3 linked regions of the Xenopus tropicalis genome follow. The protein of the gene in region 2 purifies or fractionates together with the protein of the main gene of each other region. This does not show direct contact. Links are inferred from orthologs where the notes say so. Each region holds a gene or a part of one and is shown on either strand. Other genes may lie near its edges. The genes, in order: dyrk1a, fam117b and dcaf7.

Region 1 (3,659 bases), on a different chromosome or scaffold from region 2:
CAATCCGGTTTGTAAATGCCCTCTGTGCTTTCTAATTTACAATAAAATATATTGGAAATATATATAAAGCTTAAGGGCAGGGGTACACGGGGAGATTAGTTGCCCCATGACAAATCTTTGTTGTCGTGGGCAACTAATCTCCCTGCCATGCCATCTCACCGGCTAGAATGTAAATCGCCCGTGGGGTGGCATACTCGTTGCTACGATGTCTCGCAGTCGCCCATAGTTGCCTTGAGAGGAAACTTCGGCCGACTGCTGGACATTGCAGCAACGCGTATGCCATCCCACCAGCGATTTACATTCTAGCCGGTGATGTATGTATTCTGGGACTGTCCCAAAATATAATGCTTTTTGGACTGAGATACTTGGGACTATGGACTCTTCTCTAGGCCTATTGAACATACAGACCCCCACACTCTGCTTACTGGGCCATACAGAGAGGATAACGCTGAATTCCAGTGACAGACTTTGCCTCCTACAGCTTCTGCACTATGCTAAAAAAGCCATTCTGATGAGCTGGGAAGCAGCGGAGACCCCAACACAGTCCTACAAGCAGCTTGTAAATGTCTCTCCAGCCAGAAGCTTACAAACATAGCCTCAGACTGGCCAGGAAAATCAGGAAAATTTGTGACAAATGGCTGGCAGAGATGTGAGAAGTATCAGTAACTGGGTGTAGTGTAGGAAAGCCCTGGTTATTCGTATCTCTTTCTTCTTCTCTTTTAATTCTCACTTTAAACTCTCTCTTGCGTTCTTCTTGTTATGTGTTGTGTAAACTTAAAACTCAATAAAGAAAAACTTATGGAAAAAAAATTATATATATATATATTTATATAGCACTGCAAGTATTGGCACTCACCAGTCCAAAGGCAATAGCCGGGTGCTAACCCAAGAGATGCATCCACTGTATACAGAAAGCACTCACGGCCTTAATGTCCAAAAAATTGAAATTTTATTTCAACATGCTATCTACGCGTTTCAATCCACAGAAGATCGTCATCCTGATGATGATCCTCTGTGGATTGAAATATGTAGATAGCATGTTGAAATAAAATTTCTTCATTTTTTTGGACATTAAGGCCGTGAGTGCTTTCTGTATACAGTGGATATATATCTATATATATATCCAAAAAAGACCAGCAACACAGAGTTATAGTGCTGGGCGGTATGACCAAAAATTTATATCACGGTATTTTTTTTATTATATCGGTATCACGGTATTTGACGGTATTTTTTTTTCCCCATGCATGATTAGGTGACCACCCCAAACACCCCCCCCAACCCCAAACACCCCCCCCCAACCCCAAACACCCCCCCAACCCCAAACAACCCCCCCAACCCCAAACACCCCCCCCAACCCCAAACACCCCCCCCCCAAACCCCAAACACCCCCCCATCCCCTTCACATAAATATAACTTACTGACCAGGCAGCCGCAGGCACCCCCGACAGCTCACAGAGCCTCCTGACAATTTTTCTTACTATTTCCGGGTTGCGCGCGTGACGTCAGCGCGCACAACCCGGAAATAGTAAGAAAAATTGCCAGGAGGCGCCCACACCGGTATGCCGGTAAGTTAAAAATTTTTATCATTTTTTTTTTTAAAAAAATGGTGTTCGGTATATACCGGTATACCGCCCAGCACTACAGAGTTATATTCCAAAAAGATCAATCGTGTATTAAAAACACATGTTTATACATCACATCGACGTTTCGGTCCTGGTGTGGGACCTTAATCAAGATGTTACACACAATAAAATACACATATAAGTGTAACATCTTGATTAAGGTCCCAGACCAGGACCGAAACGTCGATGTGAGAGATATCTAATACAACTATATGCAGCACCCAACCATGTCGGTGTCAGGACCGAAACTGAATTAGAGTGACTGTCAGTTTTCCTGATATTCTGACAATAAAATAAAGTGCAATAAAACAGGCATTCTGAGGGTACCTGAGGACTGTGCGTCTCACAATCCATAGCCTGAACAGCAGCTGTGAAATGGCCACCACTGTGTCGATGTTGATGAGTAGGGTCAGACCTTGCTCTTCCACTGTTGCTTGTACCAGACGAGCCACCTGATACATAAATATATGTGTGATAGAAATATAAATCAAGACGTCAAAAACGTAGAAAGCAAATCATCACTGGGTTATTATAAAGTCACCTATCTGTACTAATGCAACCTGCAACAATAGTTGCCATCTGTCTAAGCTATACACACTTTTTGTATTTCATAAAATTCCCTACTCCTAGCAACTTTGCAATTAGTCTTTATTATTATTATTTTTTTATTATTATTTGCCTTCCTCTTCTGCAACTTTTAAGCTTTCAAATGGGGGAGGGGGGTTCACAGACCCCTGCAGCTAAAAACTAATTCTCTGTGCACTTACAATTTTATCATTATTGTTACTTTTTATTCCTTATCTTTATATTCTGGCCCTCTCCTATTCATATTCCAGTCTCTCATTCAAACCATGGCCTGGTTGCCAAGGTAAAGAAGACCCTAGCAACCAGACAGCTGCTAAATAACTGAAAAACCACAAAAAAAAAAATTTTTAAAAACCAATTGCAAATTCTCTCAGAATATCAATGTCTATGTAATAGTAAATATAAAGTCGAACAATCCCTTTAAGGCCTGTGTCAAATGCAAGCTAAAACTTGTGCACGGTGGCCGTCAATCAACCCATGAATGATGAGTGTACTTACGCCTGCATTTACTACTTGTCCTGAAGGGCGGCTATGAAGGCATAAGGGCAGGTTAATAGGCCCTGGCATTTCAAGTACACAGAGGCCCAAACAGCCCCCCAGCCCAATAAATAGTGACTGTCTGTGGCACCTTACAGCCCCCCTGGCATTCCCAGTACCCAGAGGCACAAACAGCCCCCCAGCCCAATAAATAGTGACTGTCTGTGGCACCTTACAGCCCCCCTGGCATTCCCAGTACCCAGAGGCACAAACAGCCCCCCAGCCCAATAAATAGTGACTGTCTGTGGCACCTTACAGCCCCCCTGGCATTCCCAGTACCCAGAGGCACAAACAGCCCCCCCAGCCCAATAAATAGTGACTGTCTGTGGCACCTTACAGCCCCCTGGCATTCCCAGTACCCAGAGGCACAAACAGCCCCCCCAGCCCAATAAATAGTGACTGTCTGTGACACCTTACAGCCCCCCTGGCATTCCCAGTACCCAGAGGCACAAACAGCCCCCCCAGCCCAATAAATAGTGACTGTCTGTGACACCTTACAGCAGCCCCTCTGGCATTCCCAGTACCCAGAGGCACAAACAGCCCCCCCAGCCCAATAAATAGTGACTGTCTGTGGCACCTTACAGCCCCCCTGGCATTCCCAGTACCCAGAGGCACAAACAGCCCCCCCAGCCCAATAAATAGTGACTGTCTGTGGCACCTTACAGCAGCCCCTCTGGCATTTGCCTGAACCCACAGATTGCCAGTCCGGATCTCATGTGAATCATGAAACCTCACTGTAAAACATTAGTTCTATATAAATACAAGACAAAGCCTTTAGATTTATAGAGACTTTGTGGAAGGAAATAACAGCATTTAGCAACACAAATTAAACCATACTAAATGAGCGTTAGTAACCTTAAGAATGCACAGTAAGGAGTTTCCTGAGGTGTGGGTGCTACATTTGGGTGCTAGAGA
Region 2 (3,659 bases):
ACCAGACAAAAAGCAGAACCGCTCTTTGGAATGAAATTCACTTTGTTCTTATCAGGACAGTAAAATGGTGGAATTTCATGCAGTGGCTTTGGCCTGAAGAAACAAAACACAAAAATTGCTACATAAATACACTTACTTATTCTGGATTTTTAAAAAAAAAAACAAAAGTTGATGGTTACAAGTTCCAATTCTCTTTCTATACTAATGAGACAGACTTGAGGGAAACCCTAAAAGCATCTTTAGCAGCATCCCACCCTAATACCCTAGAGCAGTGCTGTCCAACTGGCGGCCCTCGACTCCCCTCTGTGTGGCCCCCCACCTGTCTGGCTGTTTTGATGGTTTACCTTTGTGTAAGCTTTAAATGGTATCAGTACTGTGATTAACTTCCCCCCCTGCATGGTTCTCACCTCAGATTCAGGCTGTAATCCGGCTGTATTGTTTAAACATGTAATCCCCTGTGTTGTTCACACCTTTTAATCCCTGCATTGTTCACCCCCTGTAGAGTTCACACCTCAGGCTCAGGCTGTAATCACACACATTGTTCCCCCGTTCACACCTCAGACATTCTAGGTACTGCCTGGACTATGTATGGCACACACAGGGAGCACAGAGTAGGCAGATTATGGAACATAGCATAGGGCAGGGAGGGTATGGCACAAACGGATAGTCCAGGCAGAGTATGGCACACACAGGCAGGTTAGGGCAGGCAGAGTATGGCACACACAGGCAGAGTATGGCACACACAGGCAGAGTATGGCACACACAGGCAGAGTATGGCACACACAGGCAGAGTATGGCACACACAGGCAGAGTATGGCACACACAGGCAGAGTATGGCACACACAGGCAGAGTATGGCACACACAGGCAGAGTATGGCACACACAGGCAGAGTATGGCACACACAGGCATCATAGGACAGGCAGAGTATGGCACACACAGGCAGGGTAGGGCAGGCAGAGTATGGCACACACAGGCAACATAGGACAGGCAGAGTATGGCACACACAGGCTGGGTAGGGCAGGCAGAGTATGGCACACACAGGCAGCATAGGGTAGGCAGAGTATGGCGCACACACAGGCAGCATAGGGCAGGCAGAGTGCTGCCTGTGTGTGCCATACTCTGCCTGCCCTATGCTGCCTGTGGGAGGTGAACCTGGCAGGGGTTTGTTGTGGGTTTGTTAGCAGTTGGAAATAGCCATTAAATGATCCCTAAGGTGTGTAACTATGTGCTGGGGGTTGCTGTGCTATCCACAGGGGAGGAGGAGGCATATGGATTTAAGGGTATATCTTAATATGACATAATATAATTCTTTCACATATGAATGACGGTTGACATCCTCGCTGTAAGCACCTAGCATTTGGGATTTTGCTGTGCTACCACCATTGTGATAAAATAGGTGTGGTTTGAAGTGGGTGTAGTTTAAAAAGGGGGAGTGGTCAAAACTGGCTTCCATTAGCGGCCCTCCACCATGTATGCTAGAGAAAATCCGGCCCTCGGCACCACAGAAGTTGGACAGCACTGCCCTAGAGCAGTGATCACCAACCAGTGGCTCGTGAGTAACATGCTGCTCACCACCCCCTTTGATGTTGCTCCCAGTGGCCTCAAAGTATGTGCCCATTTCTGGCTTTATAGTGGAATTTTGAGTTCACACAAAGACAGACAGAGTTTTCTGTCTAAAAAAATGCCACCAAATGGAACAGAAGGAAAAATGAATGGCCTTTTCTAGTTTTGATGTCAGATGAGGGAAAGGCACATTAATGTTTCTGGTAAGTGGGGGGGGGGGGGGGAAGAGGGCCAACAGAGAAACTGGTGTCCACTGAAATTTGTAGATCCCTGTAAATAACGGAGTCTTATGGTTCTCTGCAAAGTTACTGTGCTCGCCTACTAGCATATATTAGATGCATAGATGCAAAATGAAAATCTGTTTATTCTTTAAATAATGTAAACTTGCACTAATCCTCAAGGATTTATATCTCATTCCTTGAATCCTACACAGATTAATTCACATTCTGGCAATGTTGTTGGCAATGAACAGTTCAGAGTGTAACTTGGAAATGTGCACTGGCTGCCAGGTCCTGAGAGCTGAGTAAAATTTACAGGCTGTGCCCTGACATGGATGAGTCAGCTGCCAACTCTAGCTACATGTGGCTTGCATTTAATATAACCAGCTCTGTATAATGAAGCCACCATTTCTAAGGCCAATGCCACAGTAGGTGGGTACTCCACTGGCAGTTACTGCTCAGGCTACCAGCCATTGTAGTGAATAGCAACCAGAAGTGACAGGCAAGTGTGAGCAGAAAATGTGCAGATTTTCAGGTCAAAATCTACTTGTGTCAGGTTCAAGTCTTTGGCAGGCAGGCCAAGTGATGACAGGAGCTTCTTTGCCAGTGGAGCAAAGCACTGGTGTGCCACACAATACATAATTTGTAGGAATGTGGTTGCAATGGGTAGATATAGTTCTGTATCATATATAATTAGTTTTTAGTCTTATATTCACAAGTATTTAAGTTACTACATAACTTAGTATCTAGTAGCATAAATGAGAAAGCACTTCAAACATTATTTTATAGATATACAATTCCCTTCTATTGTGAACCTATTACTACCCTTGTTTGTTTCTTGTATAAGAAACACAGCACACACAGCTAAGGATTGGGATCTTTAAAGAAGAAAACAAAACAACAAAGACAACACAGTGTTCGCCAAACTGTACTTACGCGCCTTCCTCAAATACTTTCACCCTTTCACAACCCTCAGGCGGTTCTCTCTTGAACATGTAACTGTTGTTTGGTTTTGGGGATGTAGCATACTTGGGAAGAGGGGAATGATTTCCATTCTCTGCAGGCCAAAACAAATGCCTTACGTTAATAATGGATGAAAAATGCTTTGCCATTAAAAGTATTGCCATTTACAAATTACTATAAATATGCCTGTTTCATTTGAGGGTTCTAAAATCCCAGCTCAAAATAAACCCCAAAACAGTAGAAGATATGAGTATTTCCCTAGTTCTCTGTAGTCTGTTCCAAAGCTGTGAGGTATATTCATCTAGATCCTGTAAAGTTATAATTGAACATTTATTTGTGGTTTATAAAGTTTTTTTTTTTTTTCAGACAATGTTGCTAGAGCTAAATTATCTGAGCACCCAGGCATCATTCTGGAAATTAGAACAGAAGATGAATAAAACAGGGCCTAAAAAGAAGCTAAGCAATATAACATAAGAGTAACAGTAAAATGTAACCCTCCCAGTCTGGGACATTGATCTTGGCAACTTTTTATCTGTTCCTTTTTTTTTTTTATTTTATTATTAATTATTTGCTTGCCTATTTCAAACCTGCAATAGAAAAAGTGGTTTGATTGTCAACAAAAGCTTACTCTATAACATACTAAAATATAATGGCAACTTCTCCTTTGAGGCTACTGCAGCACAATGTCACTTGCAGTGCCACTTAAAAATTTTGTTGCAATCATTTTGCTTCAATACACTGGTGGTTTAAAATGGAGTAACATTTGAACAGACATTCTCTAGAAATAGCAGATAGATTATATATATATATATATCTCAAACTTAACAGTAGAAAGCACTCACAGCTACAGCATCAATCAGGTCAGTGATTTATTTCAGCATACCATCTATGGTATGCTGAAATAAATCACTGAC
Region 3 (2,441 bases), on a different chromosome or scaffold from region 2:
ACACAGGGGAGGGGAAAGAAAATACTTTTATATTCATATGGGTTAAAAAAACCTAACTCATTCATACTGCACTGGGTTCAGTTGGAAGGGTTGAACTTGACGGACTTTGGATTTTTTCAACCCTGTGTAACTATAACTGCACAACCTGCAGGACCCATCACCGTGTACACTGGAAAACAATGACAAGACATTTAGGACTTCCTCTGAACCTTTCCTAGTTTAATTTATTAATGCCCCATCTTTTGCTGCCTGAATAATGCTCTAATGTAATTTATTCCCATCTCCAATTGGTGCTGTAAAAATGACACCACTTGGGTGTGTCCAAGATGGCGACCAAACCAGATGCATAAAGTGAGAGCTCTGTGTATCGATTGATCTCTTTGGCAGTTCTCTTCACTCCACACTCCATTTACTACTCACTCACAGTTTGCCAGCAACCACTGGAATGCAGTACTAAAAGCCAACATGGGCAAACATTTTCCATGTATGAGATCAGAGGCTACGCCCTCACTCACCCAGCCAGGTTCCCGCTGGACAAAAGCTTCTGCCAGACATTAACGCCAGAACCACCAGGCCCCCCTCCCAACCAAGAGCCTAGCGAGCCCACAATGGGGGACTTATTGGAAGCTATAAAAGAAACTAGAGCAGCCACTACCTCACAAATAGAAGGGATTAAGATCAACTTGTCCCTCCTGCGCCCGGACCTCTAATACATGAGAGGCCGCACTGCTGCTGTGGAAACTCAGGTCTCCCGAGGATACAATTAACCCCATACACAACACCATGCCATCAGTAACAGCAAATCTAAGCACTAATGGACAAAACAAAGACCTGGAGAATAGACTTAGGATGAGCAAGATCAGAATAGTGGGGCTCCCGAAAGGGTGGAGGGACAGCAGCCAGAGGCATTTATTTGCAAATGGCTATAGGATGTAGTGGAAGCAGATACATTCTCCTCACTATTCGTGGTGAAAAGAGCCCATCAAGTTCCTCCCAGGCCACCCCCACCGGGAGCACCACCAAGACCACCATTCCGACTCAAACTGCTCAACTTTAGGGAACGGGTCGCAGCTCTGAGCGTAGCAAGGCTCAAAGGCCCGATTCTATACAATGGCATCACAATCTCCATATATCTGGACTTTTCTCCTGCTATACAAGATGGCGACACCACACATTTTTTTTAAATTCTCCGGCAGAGGCAGATGAAGGAGAAGGAGGTGCCACCACCTCCCGCTGAGAGAAAGGCACTAACCATCCAACAACCCCCCTTGGGAATAGGGAGCACGGTAAAGGCCTGAATAACACGTCTCTGTGCTTGCCCTTACAGATACCCCAAGAGCAATGGGTTGGGCCTAGACCTGTACAAGGTCTTCAAACCGATTACTACTCTCTGAACAAATCTAAAGGCTCTAGCAACCCAGACCCGTTAAGTCAGGTGTCTCTTTACCCACAACTGCAATCCCCCCGCAGCCACAATATGGGCATGCAGCACAAAGCAACCCAGCAAACTATAGAGAGCCTCAGAGAAGTGTGACTGGAACTCACTCATGGGATAGTCTGTACATACCTTCCCATATCACATTTCCTACCGATAAACCAAAGGCTTCTCACCTCTTTGTCATGGGCAATGAGCTGCGTTTTCACATGTCCAGACACCAGATTAACCCTGCCAAGGACCTGTCCAGTCTCCAAACCCCAGATTGTGCATGTTGTATCAATACTTGAGGTTCCTGAAGGTTAAAGAAAATAATGTTATTCTGCAGTCCAATGAACATTCCTATACCCACAATACAAACAATAGAAAGTCCTAGCACAAGAGGGAAATGGCCGATATATGATGGTCTGATTTGTTCCAGACAGGGACAGTATATTGTTATCAAGCTGGTTTATATGTCCACTTGAACACTGCATGTAGTTAATATCGGCTTGCTAGGGAGGCAATTGAAGCGTGTATTAGGGGTTAGGTGAAGACTAAAGAGAGTGTTCTAAAAAGTAAGAGGTATAGAGTAACTGCACTGAATTGGTTTATATATCCACCTAAAAGAGAGTACAATGCATGTACATAAATGTGTTTGCTCGAAAGGCAAATGAAAACTAAAGATAACCATATGGACCAGAGGACAGATTTTAGCTGCTCATTCAGCCCAAGTCAGCAGCTTATCACCTGTTTATTTTAGGGCCCTCCAATGGGCCTACCAAACCAATATCTGGATGAAATCTGGGGTTTAAAAATCCCATCCCAATGGCCTGTATCCCCATTTTTATGATCTGATCGTTTGGCCCTAGGATCAGTCTGAAATCGCCCACCTGGAGGTGGGCATATTAAGTAAGGTCAGCTTAAAGAAGTTATAGAGTTACTGTATCAAGTTGGTTTATAAGCTCAGAGGCTTGCTCTCAGTGTTAGTTTGGGTGATGTTTTATGAAAATGCATTAAATAACCT

Evidence for each region.
Region 1: the proteins of fam117b (region 2) and dyrk1a purify together in Homo sapiens (affinity purification with mass spectrometry; 8 studies listed by BioGRID and IntAct, counting the BioPlex papers as one, with this or other methods). This does not show direct contact. The link is inferred for Xenopus tropicalis from reciprocal best matches to the Homo sapiens genes FAM117B and DYRK1A.
Region 3: the proteins of fam117b (region 2) and dcaf7 purify together in Homo sapiens (affinity purification with mass spectrometry; 3 studies listed by BioGRID and IntAct, with this or other methods). This does not show direct contact. The link is inferred for Xenopus tropicalis from reciprocal best matches to the Homo sapiens genes FAM117B and DCAF7.

What each region holds. Positions count from the first base shown.
Region 1 is NC_030678.2:12,497,634-12,501,292, forward strand, and holds part of dyrk1a (dual specificity tyrosine-phosphorylation-regulated kinase 1A), read right to left. Parts: intron 2,075-3,659; coding exon 1,950-2,074; intron 1-1,949. UniProt on the Homo sapiens protein: Dual-specificity kinase which possesses both serine/threonine and tyrosine kinase activities. Exhibits a substrate preference for proline at position P+1 and arginine at position P-3.
Region 2 is NC_030685.2:52,494,764-52,498,422, reverse strand, and holds part of fam117b (protein FAM117B), read right to left. Parts: intron 2,840-3,659; coding exon 2,719-2,839; intron 94-2,718; coding exon 1-93.
Region 3 is NC_030686.2:16,434,869-16,437,309, forward strand, and holds part of dcaf7 (DDB1- and CUL4-associated factor 7), read right to left. Parts: intron 1,731-2,441; coding exon 1,612-1,730; intron 1-1,611. UniProt on the Homo sapiens protein: Involved in craniofacial development. Acts upstream of the EDN1 pathway and is required for formation of the upper jaw equivalent, the palatoquadrate. The activity required for EDN1 pathway function differs between the first and second arches.